Linked DNA regions of Xenopus tropicalis. The protein of the gene in region 1 binds, or shares a complex with, the protein of each later gene. Links are inferred from orthologs where the notes say so. Each region holds a gene or a part of one and is shown in the gene's direction. Other genes may lie near its edges. The genes, in order: pigs, pigu and gpaa1.

Region 1 (7,259 bases):
CTATTTGCCCCCTTCCTGATTTCTTATTCTTTTGCATGTTTGTCACACTTAAATGTTTCTGCTCATCAAAAACCATTAACTATTAGTCAAAGATAACATAATTGAACACAAAATGCAGTTTTTAAATGAAGGTTCACGTTATTAAGGGAGAAAAAAAACTCCAAATCTACATGGCCCCGTGTGAAAAAGTGATTGCCCCCCTTGTTAAAAAATAACTTAACTGTGGTTTATCAATTTCAATTTTCAATTTCAATATCAATTTCTGTAGTCACCCCCAGGCCTGACTACTGCCACACCTGTTTCAATCAAGAAATCACTTAAATAGGAGCTACCTGACACAGAGAAGTAGACCAAAAGCACCTCAAAAGCTAGACATCATGCCAAGATCCAAAGAAATTCAGGAACAAATGAGAACAAAAGTAACTGAGATCTATCAGTCTGGTAAAGGTTATAAAGCCATTTCTAAAGCTTTGGGACTCCAGTGAACCACAGTGAGAGCCATTATCCACAAATGGCAAAAACATGGAACAGTGGTGAACCTTCCCAGGAGTGGCCGGCCGACCAAAATTACCCCAAGAGCGCAGAGACAACTCATCCGAGAGGCCACAAAAGACCCCAGGACAACATCTAAAGAACTGCAGGCCTCACTTGCCTCAATTAAGGTCAGTGTTCACGACTCCACCATAAGAAAGAGACTGGGCAAAAACGGCCTGCATGGCAGATTTCCAAGGCACAAACCACTTTTAAGCAAAAAGAACATTATGGCTCGTCTCAATTTTGCTAAAAAACATCTCAATGATTGCCAAGACTTTTGGGAAAATACCTTGTGGACCGACGAGACAAAAGTTGAACTTTTTGGAAGGTGCGTGTCCCGTTACATCTAGCGTAAAAGTAACACAGCATTTCAGAAAAAGAACATCATACCAACAGTAAAATATGGTGGTGGTAGTGTGATGGTCTGGGGTTGTTTTGCTGCTTCAGGACCTGGAAGGCTTGCTGTGTCTACCAAAAAATCCTGAAGGAGAATGTCCGGTCATCTGTCAACTCAAGCTGAAGCGATCTTGGGTGCTGCAGCAGGACAATGACCCAAAACACACCAGCAAATCCACCTCTGAATGGCTGAAGAAAAACAAAATGAAGACTTTGGAGTGGCCTAGTCAAAGTCCTGACCTGAATCCTATTGAGATGTTGTGGCATGACCTTAAAAAGGCAGTTCATGCTAGAAAACCCTCAAATAAAGCTGAATTACAACAATTCTGCAAAGATGAGTGGGCCAAAATTCCTCCAGAGCGCTGTAAAAGACTCGTTGCAAGTTATCGCAAACGCTTGATTGCAGTTATTGCTGCTAAGGGTGGCCCAACCAGTTATTAGGTTCAGGGGGCAATTACTTTTTCACACAGGGCCATGTAGGTTTGGATTTTTTTTCTCCCTAAATAATAAAAACCCTCATTTAAAAACTGCATTTTGTGTTTACTTGTGTTATCTTTGACTAATAGTTAAATGTGTTTGATGATCAGAAACATTTTGTGTGACAAACATGCAAAAGAATAAGAAATCAGGAAGGGGGCAAATAGTTTTTCACACCACTGTAAGTTCAAAAGTAAAACACAGCAAAATGGTAGTCTGCACCCAGCAGAAAGAAAGTGCATATAAGGTGTTAATGAAATGGTATCTTACCCCAAACAGAATCTCCAAAATCTACCCCAATAGCAGCCACATGTGCTGGAGAGACTGCCACCAAAGAGGTACGCTACACCATATTTTTTCGGCTTGCCCCAAAATCTCTAACTTTTGGCTGGAAATGGGCAACTTGATACAAACAGTCCTAAAAACACCAATACATATAGAATTATCCCACTTACTATTGGGACTCCCCCTCCCAAAGACCACCACCTCGACCCAAAAACAGGTTAACCAAATAGCCACTGCGGCTAGACTAGCAATTACTGCTAAATGAAAATCTACAGTAGTCCCCACCATCCAAGAAGTCATTTCCAGGGTAGAAAACAATAGAAAATTTGAGGAAATGACAGCACAAATATCCAACACACTACAAAGACATAATATCTGGGATAGTTGGGACTACTTCCAAACCATGGAAAATAATAACACTCCGCCTACCTGAAAATTGGGCCTTCTCAGAAAGCCACTCAATGAAACCAAGCGGAGAGCCCCACACCAGCATCTCCCCCATGGAGAAACTGACGCCACTAAAACAAATCCAGTGACAACACCACAAAATCTGCCTCACCTTGCCCCTCTATAACTCCACGTTAAAAACGGTCCTTTATTTTGTTCCTGTTTTGCTTTTCTTGCCTTTTTTTTTTACACTTTCTTTTCCTCTTTTTGGTTTATAAATGTTATAAATATAACAATGTACAAATAATGTAAAGAGACATTAAACAGTTTGTACAAAAAAAAATTTTTTTTTTAAGTTACAAAAAAAAAATAAAACACAGAACTCCTTTGATGTTGCTCTGCTCAGGAAAGACACAAGGAAGCAGTTTAAAAACAGCTTAATTGCTTTGAAACAAAAAATAATGCAAATTGCATTAGGTTTTTAGAAGAGCAGATATCACCGTATAATGGAGAGCAGATACTTAATGAGCATATCTCACTGAGTCAGATAATTGTCTTACACGTTTTATGTTCACATGATACTTAATCATAGGCAAAAGATTATAAAAACACCCTCAAAAGAGAGAAGTGATAGCTTAAAAGATTTAATTGGGCCCACGGAACAGGTCAGATTGAGAAGGGGTGCCCAGGGTATTACAAACTGGTAAGTGCATTGTTGGAAAATTTTCAACATGGTCCCTAGGTGGACTGGCAATCTGTGGATTCTGGCAAATGCCAGAGGGGCTTCTGTGAGATGCCATAGAGTCTAGACCAGGGGTCGGGAACCTTTTTGGCCGAGAGAGCCATAAACACCACATATTTTAAAATGTAATTCCATGAGAGCCATACAATATGTTTGGCCGCGGATGCTGCGGGGCAAGGTCGGGTGGGTCCCAAGGATGCCGGATGCGGATGTAATGCAGAGGAGGGCGTGGCCTGCGCTTGGCGAATAGAAGGCTTAGAACATGTCTTCTATCCGCCGAGCGCAGGCCATGACCCCCATTATTTTTTTTTATTATTTAAGATTTAGTAGCGAGCCAGATGCAGCCATCAAAAGAGCCACATCTGGCTCCCGAGCCATAGGTTCCCTACCCCTGGTCTAGACAGTCTGGTCCTGGACATTTGTAAAATGTTGTAGGTAGGCAGGGAGTTATGAGAATTGGGAAACGCTTAGTTTCCTCAACAAACCCTGTATGCCTATATAATTAGAAGTTTGCTGATGGAAAGCCTTATTTTGGTAGTATCTCCACACAAAAATGTTACCCTCCTCCCCTGAGGCAACCAAAGCTAGATAACTTGTAATCTTCCACTTAGAACCGGGGCACTAACCAAAACGCATTGGAGGAAGTGGGGGCTCTTCCTACATTTATTTCTATAGCCCCGCCCACTGACATAACATGAGTGCCTTCCAATCCAGTTTCACTTACCCAGGGAGATTTACACTAGTATTATGTAAGGTAAGAACAACGCTTAAAAAAGCAAGTAATAGCTGGGGGATTTAGTTTTCAATTCAACATTCCAAAAAAGTGTGACTTGCTCTGTGTGGTACAACAATAATTCTAGTATACTTCTACTTGATAATTGTGTAAAGAGATAATTACACTACATTAAACACTTAACAACGCCATAAACGCAGTCCAAAGCTGGCTACACTGTTTTAGCAAATAAAGCGGCTGATAAAATGAGCCGCCTTACAGACCGCCTTGGGTTTCCTACAGCTTTCCTAGACTCTGCGTGACAATTCGAGGCTACAATATTCTGCGACCGTTGATTGGTTAACGTGAAACTTTCTGACGCCTGATTGGCTTACACTTCTGCAAATCACCAACTAGCCGCATTGACAAGGCGGAAGAAGAAAGCAAACATGGCGGCGCCCGTCAGAAGTTTTGATGCTATCGGTAAGTGGTGCTGTTATAATTCAGTGTATGGGAAGGCGCGCCGCCGTATACATGTGGCGCAGTAGCTGACTGAGTATTTGTTCTTGTTTTCTGAAAAGAGGCTTCCCGGGGGAAGAAAGTGGCGATTTCAATCGCATTGATTACTGCCGTTTTGGGGCTTCCTTTGTGGTGGAAAACTACCGAAACGTACCGCGCCTCTCTGCCTTATTCCGATATCAGAGGGCTGGAAACCTTACAGGTGAGATCCTGGGATAGGGGCAAGTAGCCGAGAGGTTTCCCACCCTGCTGTTTTTTAACTACAAATCTGGACATCCCTATTGACAGCCAGATCAAGGTCTCCCAATAGGCAGAAAACTGCTGACATATGCAACTCCCTGTGCTGCCATAATGGAGTGCATTGAGTTGTTCCTGGGTCTGTATACACAGTGCTGCATGCAAGCTTGGTTTAAGCTTAGGATGGAGTTACCAGATCACTTGAAAATTCATAGACGCATCTAATGAATGCATGTTGCAGGGTTGGTTGTGTTTAAATGAAATTGCAATCAGTGAAACCCTTCTGGCTGCATTTTCCCTGGTTTTTCCAGTGATCTGGTAACCTTCCCTTAGGGCAGTGATCCCCAACCAGTGGCTCGTGAGCAATGTGTTGCTTGCCCAACCCCTTGGGATGTTGCTCTCAGTGGCCTCAAAGCAGGTGCTTATTTTTGAATTTCTGGTTAGGAGACAAGCTTTGATAAACCCCAGTGTAATTGCCAAACAGAGCCTTCTGTAGGCTTACAGTCAACATAGGGGCTATCAAATAGCCAATTATAGCTGTCATTGGCACCTCCAGGAATTTTTTTTAATTCTTGCGTTGCTCTTCAAAACTTTTTCCATTTGAATGTGGCTCACACGTATAAAAGTTTGGGGATCCCTGCCTTAGGGTCTTTGTATTCCATGGGAGAACAACTATGTCTTTTGACAGAAAAGCGATAGGGTGTGTTTTATAGCAGACTACATCATTTAATTATGTGAGCCCCGTGGCAATGCACTCAATGATGGACGAGGGTCCAGTTAAGGCTGATGCCACACGTGGCGTTTTTACGCTGCGTTTTTTCTCAGCCTAAAAACGCCGCACAAGCCACACAGCCCCTGACTATGGCGTTTTTCAGCCTAGTACTGGTGACGTAGCAAATCCCGTTTCCATGGTGCTAATAGTGCGAAATAGCAAAAAACGCAGCGTATTTCCGCTAGGTCTGGCAGCTGCCTTTGTGTATACATAGGAATAGCTTGCTGTGCAAATACTGGCGTATTTCGGCCAACGCTTGAAAAATCCGTGCTAAGGCATTTTCTAGCGTATTTACACATTGTGTGGTTTGCTTCGAGTCTTTTCAAGTTATTTCTATGGATGATGTTATCGGGTGTTTTTCAGCCGCTGAGAAAATTAGAAAATACGGAGTGCAGCGTTTTTTTTTTCCCCCCCATAACACTGTACATAAGGGTACACACCAATATCCACAGCACTGTACATACCTACAAACCAGTATAGTAGGCAATAAGGACCCTGCCTGCAAGGACTTGCAATCTTAAGGGGCTCTTTTGTAACTGTTGTCATGCTGTTCTTTAATTAGCTCCATCTTACTGTGCCAATTGAGATAATATTTGGGAAAGCAACACTGACTGCAGAGCAACAAAGGAACGTTCCCTCAACTGGTTTAAAGGAGACAGAGACTGTACTAAATGGTAAGTAAATGTTTTCAGCAGACATATATTTATTATTGTCTCTGTAGGCAAAGTCATATATGGCATATATGGGCGTCACTGTAAGAAATAGATATTTATTTATAACCAAGAGTGAGTTATTGGGAATAAGGCAATTCATATTCCTTTTAAATAAAGGACTAAAAAAAAAAGAGACAGAACAAATACAGAGAAATCTATAGAAGCCAAGTCCAATACATAGTGCCCACAGGACATTTGGAATGCCTGATTATACAGTAATTAACAGTTCCTAAGAAACATATAAATGCCACTGGAGTATGGGTATTGGACCTCTTATTCATAATGCTTGGAACCTGGGCTTTTTCATATAAGGGTCTTTCCTTAATTTAGATCTGCATACCTTAAAAATGTATTTAAAGATTAAATAAACCCAGTAGGATTGTTTTGACACCAATATGGATTCATGCAGCATAGCTACCATAAAGTAAATTACAGTAAAAAAAGACATTTTTGAACATTAGAATTATTTGCTTAAAATAAGAGTCCATAGGATTTCTCCTTCCCACAGTTCAGATCTTTCTGGATAATGGGTTTCCAGAAAACTGATACCTGTTCTAGACACTGGCATTCATAATAATAAAGCTATACCCCTGTAGTATTCATTGCTTATCTATTTCCTGTTGATTGGAAACTGTGTGCTCCATACATGTATAATCTTTCCAGTTAATTTTGTTTGTTTTAATCAGCTCAGACAAGTATCACCCGTCACTATGAGTTCAAGTATAGAAGGACAAGCGTTGATGAGGAGGAAGCACTTGGTCTGAAGAGTTTGCAAGGTACTGGTGGTTTCTTAATAAAATGCTTTACCACCCATTTTCCAAGAGGAGAAAAAATGTTTGGTAAAATAAGATTATTGTTTTACATAGCACTTTTATTTTCATCCAGAGAAAAACACTATGGACACTGTGTAAAATGTAAATAAAAAGAATGGGGTGATTTGCAAATCCATTAAACCCTATATGTATTAGTAGTTAGTTAGTATTAGTACAATACAATTGTGAAACGGAATACGGAGAAATGCTGGGGAGTGATGTGCAACAAAATCATCATTTTCTTTGGGCAAATTGTGCAAAATGTCAAACCTATTTGATAAAGAAACTGCACTTGTGATTATTATACTAGCCATTGTGAACAATTTGTAAACAAACTGAATGCCTGAGTTTTTGATAAGAAATTTTGTTACCAAGGTCCCTGGCACCTTGGTCTTAATCACAAACCAGGAGCATGTATGCTGCAAGCTGGGACCAGATTGACTTCCCAATAAAATGTTCTTGTGTCTGCAGGGGCCCTATCTCATCTCATTTATACCACACCCTTGGAAAGTTAAATCCATTTAATAGTTCCCATCATTATAGTGAAAACGTCTTTCTTACAGTCTTAATGAATGTCCTTTCTTAAAGATTCCATCCTAGGATCTTTCTCTTATGCCCAGTATGTTACCCCAGACAAAAAACCCGGAACCATTAAGTCAGATTTTGTGTGGAA
Region 2 (7,159 bases), on another chromosome or scaffold:
GCGGCCTGGCCGACCGAGATCTGGCCTGAGATTGGCCAGATCTCGATCGGCCAGGTTAGAAAATCCGGTCGGATCGGGGACCGCATCGGCTCGTTGATGCGGTCCCCGATCCGACTGCCCCATTGCCGCCCACATAATCTGATCGTTTGGCCCCAGGGCCAAACGATCGGATTATTTTTTTTACCTAAATGCTCCCCGATATCGCCCACCCGTAGGTGGGGATATCGGGGGAAGATCCGCTCGCTTGGCGACATTGCCAAGCGAGCGGATCTGCTCGTGTATGGCCAGCTTTACTTTTTAAAGCTTTCATATTTTGAAGCTCTAGTTAAATGCAATCCACAGTTGCATTACATGAAAGAACTCTAGTAGATAAGTGTTATCTAGCTTAGTTTGTATGTTTCTGACTCTTGTTTGTGGGCTGAGCGCCGCCCACTGCTTAATTTTGGTTTGTGTGGGTGTATGTTTGTACCTGCAATTAAATATATTGAGTAGTAAGTGTCCAAAACAATGCTACGGTTTCATAGGAAGTGTAGGTCACATGCGTATTTAGAATAATACAGAGTTAGATTCAAAAATTTAATTTTGACATTTGTTTTTTTTCAACAGACGCCGCTCATTTTATATCTCTTCCATTTCCTTGTAGACTATGCAGAGATAGTATTCATGGTAAGTGTATAACCGTACCTTTGTCTCTATTTAATTTAGGGGGGCACAGGCAAAGTCTGCTTTATGGGAGGCAAGGATGGTGAAAGAACAGAACAGCTGACAGAGCTCCAGGTGGCTCTGCTGTCCCAAACGTGTTCTTTCACAAGCACCTTTTCTCCAGAGAAACAACCCCCAACCTTGACAGTTTTTCTTTCCCATTTATTTTCTGGGGATTAGTAGCCATGACAAGTAGTTGCTACTAAGTACAGTCATGTAAAAAAATTAGGACACCCTATGATTTTTGTATTCTTGGAGATATGGATATTTCATCTACATTTTAACAATACTGGGAGATTCAAGTAATATAACTAACCAATTAAAACTGAAGAAAAGACTTTTCAAAATCTTCTGTAAAATGTAATTCTACAAAAATGCAATTTCTGGTGAGGAATAAATCAGGACACCCCCACATTTAGTCCCGCTTTAAATGGCTAAAATCACCCACAGGTGTATCACATCAGGTGCACATGATAAGAACATCATTACTCAGCATTGTGAAGGAGGTTTGTCCTATTAAGGCTGATGCCACATGTGGCGTTTTTCCGCTGCGTATTTTCTAATTCTCTCAGTGGCTGAAAAACGCCTGATATCATCATCCATAGAAATAACTTGAAAAGACGCGAAGCAAACCACACAATGCGGAAATACGCTAGAAAACGCCTTAGCATGGATTTTTCAAGCGTTGGCCGAAATATGCCAGTATTTGCAAAGCAACCTATTCCTATGTATACACAAAGGCAGATGCCAGACCTAGCGGAAATACGCTGCGTTTTTTCCTATTTCGCACTATTAGCACCATGGAAACGGGATTTGCTTACGTCACCAGTACTAGGCTGAAAAACGCCATAGTCAGGGGCTGTATAGGTTGTGCGGCGTTTTTAGGCTGAGAAAAAACGCAGCGGAAAAACGCCACGTGTGGCATCAGCCTTGGCACGGATTTTTCAAGCGTTGGCTGAAATACGCCAGTATTTGCACAGCAAGCTATTCCTATGTATACACAAAGGTAGATGCCAGACCTAGCTGAAATACACAGCATTTTTTTACTATTTTGCACCATTAGCACCATGGAAACGGGATTTGCTATGTCACCAGTACTAGGCTGAAAAACGCCATAGTCAGGGGCTGTGTGGCTTGTGCGGCGTTTTTACGCTGCGTATTTTCTAATTTTCTCGCCGGCTGAAAAACGCACAATATCATCTTCCATAGAAAAGACTCGAAGCAAACCACACAATGTGTAAATACGCTAGAAAACACCTTACCACGGATTTTTCAAGCGTTTGCCATAATACGCCAGTATTTGCACAGCAAGCTATTCCTATGTATACACAAAGGCAGCTGCCAGACCTAGCAGAAATACGCAGCGTTTTTTACTATTTTGCACTATTGGCACCATGGAAACGGGATTTGCTATGTCACCAGTACTAGGCTGAAAAACACCATAGTCAGGGGCTGTGTGGCTTGTGCGGCGTTTTTAGGCTGAGAAAATACACAGCGTAAAAACGCCACGTGTGGCATCAGCTAAACCTCAGACATTTTGTTTGGTGTGCTCCTGGCTGTTGAGGTGAGAGTGAACACCATGGTAAGATCAAAATAGCTGTTTGAGGCCTTCAGAAAGAAGATTGTAGCAGCTAATAAGTCTGGTAAGGGATTTAAAAGCTATTCCACTGTCTGGAAAATAGTCTACAAGTGGAAGTCTTTCAAAACAACTGCCAACATGCCCAGTTCTGGCCGTCCAAGCAAGTTCAATGTGAGACCGCAAGATGCTAAAAGAAGTCCCTAAAAACCCTAAAATGTCATCACGGGACCTACAGCAGGCTCTACAATCAGAAAGAGACTGGACAACTTCAACTTGCATGGGAGGTGTGCAAGGAGGAAACCTTTGCTCTCTAAAAGAAACATCAAGGCCAGACTGAAGTTTGCCAGAGAGAATGTAGACAAACACCAGGACTTCTGGAATAATGTTCTTTGGACAGATGAGGCTAAAACTGAATTAGTTGGACACTAGAACAGAGGACATGTTTGGCGTAAACCAAATACAGCATTCCAGGAAAAGAACCTCGTACCAACTGTGAAGCATGGAGGTGAAAGTGTCATGGTTTGGGGATGCTTTGCTGCAGCAGGACCTGGCCAGCTCACTATCATATAATCTACTATGAATTCTACTGTGTATCAGAGGGTGTTTGAGGAACATGTGAGACCATCTGTAAGAAAATTAAAGCTGAAGCAGAACTGGACCCTGCAACACAACAATGACCCAAACCATACCGGTAAATCCACCAAGGACTGGCTGAAAACTAAGTAATGGAGAGTCCTGGAGTGGCCGAGTCAAAGCCCAGCTCTTATTCCCATTGAGATGCTGTGGGGTGACTTGACGAGCTGTACATTCAAGAAACCCCTCAAACATCTCACAGCTGAAAGAATTCTGCATTGAGGAGTGGGGCAAACTTTCCTCAGACCAATACCAGAGACTGGTAGATGGCTACAAGAAGTGTCTCACTGCAGTTATTTCAGCCAAAGGGGGTAACACTAGCTATTAGCGAGTATGGTGTCCTAACTTTTTCCTCAGAATACACATTTGTGTTGATATCTTTTGTTTACCTGCAATTAAATCCACAGATAAATAAAAACAAGATTAGACATCGGTATGTCTTAACAAAGAACTGAATATTTGGGGGTGTCCTTTTCACATGACTGTAGCTCAGTGTGTCTTTGCCCTTTTTGTTTCAATAAGTATTTGCTGAGCTACATCTACCTGTAACCCTGATGTTTGCAGAGCCGGAGGTTGTCTGTACTTGCTATATTGTTTTTGTTGACCTGTGTGTCGGTGGCGTGGGTATTTTGCAATAAATCTCATTCTTTCCCCCCAGATAACAGATGCCCTCACTGCTATAACTCTGTACCTTGCCGTCAAGGACTACAACAAATTAATGGTAAGATTGGTTTTAGATTCATGAAACGGGATCAGAAATGTTAATTTCTACAGGAATATTTTGGAGTGAGTTATACTCCAAATAACAGATGGAAGGTAATGCTGTAAAGTTCTTTGCTTAAGGCTTATTTGGCTCAGATCTTACTGTAAGCAGGAATCAATATCTGCTTCCTGCTGGACATAGTAATATCTCTCTTGAGAATTTGAAGGCAATCTATTCTCTGCTTCAGAGTAAGAAGCTAAAAACATCAGATGCTGGTCTGAAACGGAGACTTGCATGATGGGTTTTCTAAGGTAAATCAAAAAAGTGACTGTTTCCTCTTAAACAGACAGGAAGTGAGTTGGATTTAGTTATATTGATTACCCGGAAGAGGATGTGGCCAAAAAGCTATTAGCATCATTTTTCTGCGACAGACCTACATAATCTTTAGTTTATGCCTTTGTACAATGTGTAATATAGACAGCTATGTGCTGATCAGGCATTGTCTCAACTGTGTATCGGCAGAGCAATTACAACCCTGTGCCTTCAGCCTTAAACCTTAAAGATCGGTGCCCCTCTATCGGGCAAAGCTATTCATAGATTTTATATAAACCCAACACCACAGGGATTCATTGCTAAAAACGTATTGCCTCTTCCTGTCAACTGCTTGTAATGGGATTAATGCAGGCGTTCTATTTTTCCTCTGCAGTTTAAGAAGCAAAAGCTTTTATTGGAGCTGAAGAGATATTCACAGGAAGGACATGATCTCCTAAGGGTACCGACTGAGATGTACTATGTACCATTGAAGGTGGCTTTATTGTAAGTGGTAATATACATGTCTGGACTGGGTTTCAAAATAGGCCCTGGCGCTACAATTACAGAGACCCAAACAAGCAATATATACATTCAACACTGCCTACTTGTTGTTTATACTGTATATGGCCAAAAGTATCTGGACTGTGCCTGTCTAATATCTCCAAAACCATGGGTGTGTATATGAAGTTGATGGGATTTGCTTTTGTTCTCTCACAAGAGCATTAGAGGGGTTGGGCACTAATGTTGGGAGTCAGGCCTTATTAATATCCATCCCCCACATGTTCAGTTGGGTTGAGGTCAGGGCCCGGTGCAGGCCTGTCAAGTTCTTACAAACCCATTTTCTATGGGCCACACGCTGTGCATAGGGATATTACTATGCTGTAACAGAAAAAGGGTCTTCCCCCAAATTGTTGCTTGAAAGCATGAAATTATCATGTATGTCATTAAGGTTTGCTTTAACTGGAACCACGGGCCTTTTCAATGGAAATTTCTCACTGGCACTATTATTCTCTCTAGCTACTTGCTGAATCCATACACAGTTCTGTCCTGTGTGGCCAAATCTACGTGTGTCATTAACAATGCAGTTATTGCCCTCTTCATCCTGGCAACTGTGAAAGGTGTGTATCTCCCTACTGTTTCTATATGGTCTGAGACATGCAGTCTTTTGCCTTTGTTAAAAAGGTTTTATTATTTAAAGCAGTATGCAATTGTGGGGGGGGGGGGGGGGAAAGGGCTTTTATTTTGCTCATGTTGAGCACAGCTGTATATGTCAAAAACTAATCTTTATCCTGTTTTGTTTTTCAGGTAGCCGGTTACTGAGTGCTGTGTTTCTGTCAGTGGCAACCTATCAGTCCCTGTATCCAATCACCTTATTGCCACCGGCGCTGCTCTACTTGCTTCAGGTGCCTGGTGAAACGGATGTGTATGCAACTGCTACTTATAAAGTGTACTAATGGCAGTGCCATGTTTATGGGCTCAGTCCCCCTAGGCCCAAAGTGTACTAATGGCAGTGACATGTTTATGGGCTCAGTCCCCCTAGGCCCAAAGTGTACTAATGGCAGTGCCATGTTTATGGGCTCAGTCCCCCTTAGGCCCAAAGTGTACTAATTGCAGTGTCATGTTTATGGGCTCAGTCCCCCCTAGGCCCAAAGTGTACTAATGGCAGTGCCATGTTTATGGGCTCGGCCCCCCCTAGGCCCAAAGTGTACTAATGGCAGTGCCATGTTTATGGGCTCGGTCCCCCCTAGGCCCAAAGTGTACTAATGGCAGTGCCATGTTTATGGGCTCAGTCCCCCCTAGGCCCAAAGTGTACTAATGGCAGTGCCATGTTTATGGGCTCAGTCCCCCCTAGGCCCAAAGTGTACTAATGGCAGTGCCATGTTTATGGGCTCAGTCCCCCCTAGGCCGAAAGTGTACTAATGGCAGTGCCATGTTTATGGGCTCAGCCCCCCCTAGGCCCAAAGTGTACTAATTGCAGTGTCATGTTTATGGGCTCGGTCCCCCCTAGGCCCAAAGTGTACTAATGGCAGTGCCATGTTTATGGGCTCAGTCCCCCCCAGACCCAAAGTGTACTAATGGCAGTGACATATTCTAGTGTCTGCACCCAAAATATACTATGGCTTTGTGTAGTAATTATGTTTTTGATTTCATTTTTTAGAAAGAATTTATCCCAATAAAGATGAAGAGTCCATCCTTCTGGCTGTTCAGCTGCCAGTATTGCTCTATGTACCTTGGTTGTTTGTGTGTACTAGTCTGTCACTCTTTCTTCTTGCTCAACTCCTGGGATTTCATACCTTCTATATATGGCTTCATGTAAGTTCTTTTTTTAAAAAAAGAAAAAAAAAAAAAATATTATTAGTATCCTTTATTAATGTAGCACCGACATATTCTGCAGTGCTTTAAAGTAACTAAGCAAAATAATAGTTTTGTATGACAGTAGTTGTAATAAAAAGTGATTAAGGGATTTGTGTTATATGATGCCTTTTGATATTTTCTGTTTACAGACTCTCTGTACCAGACCTGACACCAAATATCGGCCTGTTTTGGTATTTCTTCGCGGAAATGTTCGAACACTTCAGTCTGTTCTTTGTCTGCGTCTTTCAGATCAATGTTTTCTTCTACATCGTGCCTCTCACCATCAAGTTAAAGTAAATATTCCACGTGTAGTGCTGCTGATACAGACCTGTGCTTATGATACAATGAATGTTGCTCCGTAATCTATATTTTGCTCAAACTTTCTGTCTCTTATTTGCAGGGATCATCCTATGTTCCTAATGTTCATGCAGCTTGCCGTCATCTCTATCTTTAAGTCCTACCCCACTGTAGGTGACGTGGCTCTCTATATGGCCCTACTACCAATGTGGGCTCACTTGTCCAGGTGTAAGTGCCTTTCCATTTATTCATACTAATAGAGGGAAATACTGAGAGTGCTGCCAATTGGACCAACAAATCCTGGCAAAGTTGATTTTATTCTTACTGCTGTGTTGCCAAAAAGGGCTCTGGTCAATTTGAATAACAACTATGAGTGCTGGAACTTTCAAGTCAGCAACTTCCAGTTTCCAATAAAGCTTTTGGATATGTCATGCATAGGCTGATGGATCAAATTGCATTAGGAGAATAATTTTCGATATGATTATAGTTGCTGGGATTGTACTGTACAAGAGTGGACATTCCCCTAAATATGAATGTTGCATCTAAAAAACAAAACTCATGTGACATAATTTAGTATT
Region 3 (7,159 bases), on another chromosome or scaffold:
CCTCTCCCTCCCCACTCCGCCCTCCCAGCTCACCCTCCTGCTCCCCACTGTGTCCTCTCCCTCCCTGCTGTGTCCTCTCCCTCCCCACTCCGCCCTCCCAGCTCCCCCCTCCTGCTTCCCACTGTGTCCTCTCCCTCCCTGCTGTGTCCTCTCCCTCCCCACTCCGCCCTCCCAGCTCCCCCCTCCTAGCTTCCCCCTGCGTCCTCTCCCTCCCTGCTGTATCCTCCCAGCTCCCCCTCCTGCTTCCCACTGCCAGGGGTGAGAATGTAGCGGGGAGCAGGTAAATTACCGTACCTTGGGGCCATAGTTTGAGTATCCCTGCTATAGAGCTAATAATCATTCTCCCTCCTTTTACCTCTCCCTGACAGATGGTGAAAGGCACCAACGTGTATGGGATACTGAGAGCTCCGCGTGCTGCCAGTACAGAGTCCTTGGTACTGAGTGTTCCTTGTAGCGAAGGGCAGAACAATAACCAGGCCGTCGGGCTTCTCTTGGCGCTGGCATCGTACTTCAGAGGTGAGAGATCCAAATGCGCTGCCTGCAATCTATGGTACTGGCCCTCCTGGTAACCATGTTCCTGCGCACGGGTCCAGTCTCCCTTCATGCACCCTTCCCCCCTTGGGTGCCGCGGCTGGCACTGTATGTGGAGCCAAACGTAGCCATTCATTTCTAATTTTGTGCTCAAAGGGCAGATCTACTGGGCTAAGGACATCATCTTCCTGGTGAACGAACACGATCTGATTGGGATGGAGGCCTGGCTGGAGGGCTACCATGATGTGAATGTGACAGGTATGTGATGCCTCCGTGCCCCGGGGCACCTTGGTGGATATCAGTGTTTGCTCGTCACGGGGCCCTGTACACCTTCAGGCTGTGGGTAGGAGATTTAAGGTCCCCATACACGGGCCAATTGGGACTGATTCGGCAGCTTATCGGCCCGTGTAGGGGCAGAAACGAGGGGCCTGCCCGACCGATATCTGGCCTGAAATTGGAAATTAGAAAATTCAGTCGGATCGGGGACCACATCGGCTCATTGATGCGGCGTCCGAACCAACTGGCCCATTGCCGCCAATATAATTTGATTGTTTGGCCCGAGGGCCAAAAGATCGAAATATCCTACACACTCCCCGATATCGCCCACCCGTAGGTGTATGGGGACCTTTATTATTCTACTTATTACTAGAGTTAAAGGTAAACTTTTCCTTTTACTATGTTGTAGAATGGTCTATTCTTAGCAACTTTTCAATTGGTGTTATTTTTTTTCCAGTTTTTTTAATTAATTGCCTTCATTTGCAGCTTTCAAATAGGGGTTACTGACCCCGGCAGCCAAACCCTATTGCTCTGTGAGGCTCCAGTTTTATTGTTATTGTTACTTTTTATTCCTTATCTTTCTATTCAGCCCCTCCCCTATTCATATTGCCCATGCCTCTTTCATACCACGGTCTGGTTTTTAGGTTAAATTGGACCCTAGCAACCAGATAGCTGCTGAAATTCCAAACTGGAGAGCCGCTGAACACAAAGTCAATAATTCAAAAAACACAAATAACAACAAATGTAGACCAATTGCGCAGGTCTCTTCAATAATGGAGTTAACCAGTTATTGGTACTCGCACATAGCGGTTTGGCCTGCGCTGCCTTCCTGTAGGTGGAAGGTGCTTGATTAATGCTCTGACGCAGCCCAGCTCCTACCTCATTAATAGAGTAGATAATTATTAGAGTATTACATGCCTTGCCGATCTCCCTCACACTCATGTCCTTGCAGAGATAAAGTCGTCGGTGATGTTGGGTCGGGCCGGAGCCATTCAGGCCGCCGTTTCCCTGGAGATGAGCAGCGACGTGATCACCAGCTTCGATTTGGTGGTGGAAGGTTTAAATGGGCAACTACCCAACCTTGACTTGGTCAACCTGTTCTACGCCTTCTGCCAGAAGAACACGCTGCTCTGCACCATTCAGGGCAAGGTCAGGCCGCTCCCATTGCCTTTCCTGTTGCACTTCCTTGTGCTCCTGTATTGCCTGGCTCAGCCCTGATCTCTCTCTATTACATTCAGCTTCAGAGAACTGACTTCGACACCTTCCCCGGGTACCTGCACAGCCTCCAGACAATGCTGATCATGATGCTGAAACAGGGCTCTGGGAGACCCCAAGGGGACCACGGCCTCTTCCTGCGCTACCACATCGAAGCCATCACCCTGCGGGGCATCAACAGCTTCCGCCAGTACAAATATGACATGAACACAGTGGGAAAGTAAGTGGCCATCTTCCCCCACTGTCACCTTGATCCTCACTGGCGGTTTGAGGAGTTACTGAGAATGACTAGAATGGGGGGTGTACCACAGTTTTCAAGCTTCGTACACCTCACAATCTAGTTGTTCTCAGTATCTCCTCACAACCCAGGTGACTTTTAGTGGCTTAAACCAGGGGCGGGCACTCTAGGCAACCATGCCCCCCCCGTAACGATTAGGGGGTGCCAGGCAGGAGCCTCTCCTGCCTACCCCTAGTCCTCCTTCATTGTCATAGAGCAGCGTGTTCTTATGGTGCTTTGGTGCGCATACACAGTTCGTGGGGGGTGTGTGCAATTCTATGGGTCATTGCCCCCACCGCTAATGACAAGCGGCAGGGCAATGACAAAGAAGGAGGACTATGGGTAGGCAGGAGAGGCTCCTGCCTGGCGCCCCCTAATCGTTGCGCCCTAGGCAGCTGCCTCTTCTGCCAACCCCTAGTTCCAGCCCTGGCTTATACACACATACATACATACATACATACTTACATAACATACATACTTGCATACATACATACTTACATACATACATACATACACACATACATACATACATACATACTTGCATACATACATACTTGCATACATACATACTTGCATACATACATACTTACATACATACATCATATCATGTGTAAATCCTGTGGATACATTTCTGGAAACGTCTCCATAGTGATGTGGAAACTTCCAGCCCCAACTTGGGCATCTTTGGTGACTGTTTAGAATTCTGACTCCCTCGCAATATGCTAGTGCAATGGTCGCCAACTGGTGGTACTTATTTTTGAATTTTTGGAGGCATTAAGACCAAACAGAGCCTCCTGTAGGCTGCCAGTCCAAATAGGGGCTTCAAATAACCAATCACAGCCCTTATTTGGCAGCCCCAGGTACCTTTTTTTATTCTTGTGTTGCTCCCCAGCTTTTTATGTTTTAGGTTTGCGTCCCCTGTTCATTACTTAAATGTGCTGTTTAACTTGCTGACACCATCATTTTTTCTCTTCTATAGGACCCTGGAAGGAATGTTCCGGAAGCTGAACAACCTCTCGGAGCGCCTGCACCAGTCGTACTTCTTCTACCTGCTGCCGTGCCTGTCCCGCTTTGTCTCCATCGGGATTTACATGCCGGCCATCGGCTTCTTCATCCTCATTTTGATCCTCAGGATATCCTTTCCCCAAACCCCGGGGGCTGTACTGTCCCCCTGGAGCACAGTTGGATATGGGTAGCCAGTCATAGTGCTACCTACATACAGAAAGATAAACTGCGGTTTCCTCTTCGGTCTGCCTAGCTGCTGATTGGCTGCCTTCCTACAGTGGGAGGGACTGTAAGTTCTCCTACACAGCCAGCAGAAAGTGGAAGGTTTTCTATTAAAGCTGAACAAAAGTAAACTTTAAAGGGGCAGTTCATCTTTTGGGTATGTAGTAGAATAGGGGTGGCCAATACGTCGATCACGGTCCACCCGTGGATTTCTGGTGGGCCTCGATGAAGCCGGGGATGCGGAAGTCACGTACATACGCATTCACGCCGCACTTCCGCATTTCCAAGTCTGCCCACCCCTGTTGCAGAATGACCAATTCTAAGCAGCTTTGCAATTGGTCTTCCTTATTTATTTTATATTGTTTTTGAATTATTTGCTCCCTGCTTTCTCCTTAACGATGTAATTACTCCCTGGACCTGTGGATTAAGCTGAGGCGCTCGGATGGGACGGCTGAGGACGGAGTCATGGATACAGAGCAGGTACCGTTGGGTCTGTAAGGGATCAGAGGAGGCAAAAGGGCTACGAGAAACAACCACTTTGACCCCCCAGCACAGTAATATATATATACATCTATCTGTTTCTTCCTGTAGGATCCAAGACCCGGAATCCTGTCCCTCGCGACCCCCATTGTGATCTGCCACGCTACCGGCCTGAGTCTGTACTACCTGCCAGTAATGAGCCAGGAGATGGCCACTGACCACTTCCCTGTCTCTGAATCCGAGGCCGTTGTTCTCACCGCTATCGCCATCTACGTGGCAGGACTTGCACTGCCCCACAACACACACAGGTACTGAGCCACAGCTGCGCCAGCTTGAGGGGCCCTTGTGGGCAGGTAGGCAGTGGCAGCGGGCTGGCAGCACCCATGATTGGCACAGCTACTGACCACTAATGCACACATGTAGTGACCTGGGCACGTTAGCCTTAGCTGCTAGTAGCCACAGAGGCTAGCACCAACACTATAGGCCTGACTTAATAAAATTCGTTGCCTTTTGGCCTTGAAAGTCGTATAAACTCAACATGTATACATTCGAATTAAACTCGATCGCTGCTGTAATTATAAAATGGCACGATAATGCCTGAATTGTTAAAACTCAAAATTCAAGTTTAAGCGGAACGTTAATTTCCATGGGGGGATTCATTTCCCCTTGAAACTGGGTGAAATAGAAAGCAATGGGGGGATTCATTTCCCCTTGAAACTGGGTGAAATAGAAAGCAATGGGGGGATTCATTTCCCCTTGAAACTGGGTGAAATAGAAAGCAATGAGGGGGTTAATTTCCCCTTGAAACTGGGTGAAATAGAAAGCAATGAGGGGATTAACTTCCCCTTGAACCTGGGTGAAATGGAAAACAGTGAGGGGGTTAACTTCCCCTTGAAACTGGGTGAAATAGAAAGCAATGAGGGGATTAATTTCCCCTTGAAACTGGGTGAAATAGAAAGCAATGAGGGGATTAATTTCCCCTTGAAACTGGGTGAAATAGAAACCAATGAGGGGATTAACTTCCCTTTGAACATGTGCCAAGGACAGGCTGTCAGTGACTATTCTATTCCTCTACTATTCTGAGCTTCCATAGGAAGCTTAAACCTTCCAACAAAGCAAGTTAACGATAAATCCCCCCCCATTCAGGGATGTAGAGCCCAAACACGAGGTTCTGATGCCCCTTGTGCTTCGGTGTTGCCCCTCAGGCTGCCCCCTTGTGCTTCATTATTACCCCGTAAGGTGTTGCCCCTCAGGCTGCCCCCTTGTGCTTCATTATTACCCCGTAAGGTGTTGCCCCTCAGGCTGCCCCCTTGTGCTTCATTATTACCCCGTAAGGTGTTGCCCCTCAGGCTGCCCCCTTGTGCTTCGTTGTTACCCCGTAAGGTGTTGCCCCTCAGGCTGCCCCCTTGTGCTTCGTTGTTACCCCGTAAGGTGTTGCCCCTCAGGCTGCTAGGGGTATAAGCAGTGCAGTAGCCATTTGATGCTTTGCCGTTACAGAGTTCTGAGCGGCGCCGGGTCGGACCAGGGCTGGATGACTCTCAAGCTGATCTCCTTACTGTACCTCGCTGTCCTTCTGGGCTGCATCTCCCTCATTAACTTCTCCCTGGGATTCCTGCTGGCGGTCACTATCGTCCCTGTGGCGGCCATTGTGCAACCTACTGGGCCAAGGTGAGTAGAAATCCTCTGCTCCGATCCACTGTGTAACGGTGCCGCTGTTGGTCTTGTGTGGTCTCTGATCTGTCACAGTCCCGCCCGGCAATTAATAATTATTGTTCTATTTCTAGCAACTTTGCAATTGGTCTTCATTATTTATTTTTTATGGTTATTGTATTATTTTCTGTGAGGCTCCAGTTTTATTGTTATTGTTACTTTTTATTCCTTATCTTTCTATTCAGCCCCTCCCCTATGTGCATTCCAGCCTTTCATTTAAATCACCGCATGGTTGCTAGGGTAATTTGGGCCAAAACTGGAAAGCTGCTAAATAAGAAGAATAACTCAAAAACAATAATACAAAATGGAGACCAATTGCAAACTGTCTCAGAATAGCAGTGTCTACATCCTACTAAAAGTAAACGCAAAGCTGAGCAAACCCTTTTATGATTGAGCCAAATCCAAATCCTGCCAAAAAGGGCAAATCGTGGCCAAATCGGGGAGTCGGTGTGTCCCTAATATCCGACTGGGGGGCCCCAATGTAATGAGATTATGTTCCATAGAGGAAGGTTCTTGGTTCTACACAATATTATTTCAGTAGTTTCAGTGTTTGTATGGAAACTCACTAAGAATAAACAGGTCTTGGCTATGACCCACCCACACTGCATGGTGTTAACCCTTTCTTCTCTCCCTAGGGCCCTGTATGCGCTCCTCCTGGTCCTGATCACCCCGGCAACCACTCTCCTCGGCAGCATCTTCCTGTACCGGGAGCTGATCGAGTACCCCGTAAGCTTGCTGGAGTGCTGGCAGCTCTTCCTTCAGGCCATCGCCGGGGGCATGTTGGACCATTACCTCTATGGCTCTTTGCTCTTCCCCTTCATTGCGTTCTTCGTCTACCCCTGCTGGCTGCAGCTCTGGAACGTGGTCTTCTGGAAATAGGAGGGGGGCAAAAATATCTCTCCATTCTCTGGCCTTAACTAGACTGTGGCCAGGTCGGACTCTCGGAACCAGAAGTCCTATTGCTATTGGCTGAGAGACCCGGCCAGGTTGAACCCAGCTGTGTGTCTCGCTAGAGAGCGCTGACTATACGGGTAATGGAGAGGGTTACAGGGCAGCAGAGGAGACAGAACTTGTGCATGAAGGTTTGGGTTGTACGGACTTATTTATATTTGTTTTGTTCAGACAGTGACTCCCAAGAGCTGACAGTCGGCATTTGGCTGTGAATCCGGCTTCTTACAACCCAACGGCCCAATATATAGAGACAAAATCAATATTATCCCTCACTCCCCACTAGGAAATGATACGACTTGAAATCTACAGCCTTGAATTGAAAGTGTATTAAAGAGACTTGTTTTTGGAGAATATTCTGTTGTTTTCTGCTCGTGTCTGAGGCTGTCGGACTGCCGGGGGTCAGAGAGAGGATGCTGGGAGTTTCAGGAGTATTTACTCATTTCTGTTTAACCAAGAGCTTAATAACATATTGACTTGGGCAAACAAGTAGTA

Evidence for each region.
Region 2: the proteins of pigs (region 1) and pigu are in contact, whole or in part, in a cryo-EM structure (PDB 8IMX), measured with the Homo sapiens proteins. The link is inferred for Xenopus tropicalis from reciprocal best matches to the Homo sapiens genes PIGS and PIGU. Residues at the interface, in NP_149975.1 of Homo sapiens: Ala4, Gly5, Ala8, Thr9, Glu12, Arg15, Arg18, Ala19, Phe22, Phe23, Val26, Leu30, Leu34, Trp35, Thr38, Thr39, Leu510, Leu511, Phe513, Ile521, Tyr522, Leu525, Phe526; in NP_536724.1 of Homo sapiens: Gln118, Phe282, Glu283, His284, Phe285, Leu287, Phe288, Phe289, Cys291, Val292, Phe293, Ile295, Phe299, Tyr300, Ile302, Pro303, Ile306, Lys307, Lys309, Glu310, Thr417, His418.
Region 3: pigs (region 1) and gpaa1 share a complex: the UniProt entries of both Homo sapiens proteins name them as parts of the GPI-anchor transamidase complex. The link is inferred for Xenopus tropicalis from reciprocal best matches to the Homo sapiens genes PIGS and GPAA1.

Annotation. Positions count from the first base shown.
Region 1 is NC_030678.2:34,643,094-34,650,352, forward strand, and holds the start of pigs (GPI transamidase component PIG-S), read left to right. Parts: upstream 1-3,799; 5' UTR 3,800-3,982; coding exon 3,983-4,016; intron 4,017-4,114; coding exon 4,115-4,254; intron 4,255-5,623; coding exon 5,624-5,735; intron 5,736-6,460; coding exon 6,461-6,550; intron 6,551-7,259. UniProt on the Homo sapiens protein: Component of the glycosylphosphatidylinositol-anchor (GPI-anchor) transamidase (GPI-T) complex that catalyzes the formation of the linkage between a proprotein and a GPI-anchor and participates in GPI anchored protein biosynthesis.
Region 2 is NC_030686.2:41,151,875-41,159,033, forward strand, and holds part of pigu (phosphatidylinositol glycan anchor biosynthesis class U protein precursor), read left to right. Parts: intron 1-606; coding exon 607-666; intron 667-3,572; coding exon 3,573-3,635; intron 3,636-4,323; coding exon 4,324-4,433; intron 4,434-4,946; coding exon 4,947-5,047; intron 5,048-5,234; coding exon 5,235-5,332; intron 5,333-6,087; coding exon 6,088-6,242; intron 6,243-6,433; coding exon 6,434-6,577; intron 6,578-6,684; coding exon 6,685-6,809; intron 6,810-7,159. UniProt on the Homo sapiens protein: Component of the glycosylphosphatidylinositol-anchor (GPI-anchor) transamidase (GPI-T) complex that catalyzes the formation of the linkage between a proprotein and a GPI-anchor and participates in GPI anchored protein biosynthesis.
Region 3 is NC_030682.2:151,228,549-151,235,707, forward strand, and holds the end of gpaa1 (glycosylphosphatidylinositol anchor attachment 1 protein), read left to right. Parts: intron 1-368; coding exon 369-516; intron 517-687; coding exon 688-789; intron 790-1,759; coding exon 1,760-1,956; intron 1,957-2,045; coding exon 2,046-2,242; intron 2,243-3,278; coding exon 3,279-3,432; intron 3,433-3,934; coding exon 3,935-4,006; intron 4,007-4,117; coding exon 4,118-4,314; intron 4,315-5,503; coding exon 5,504-5,674; intron 5,675-6,351; coding exon 6,352-6,595; 3' UTR 6,596-7,018; downstream 7,019-7,159. UniProt on the Homo sapiens protein: Component of the glycosylphosphatidylinositol-anchor (GPI-anchor) transamidase (GPI-T) complex that catalyzes the formation of the linkage between a proprotein and a GPI-anchor and participates in GPI anchored protein biosynthesis. Binds GPI-anchor.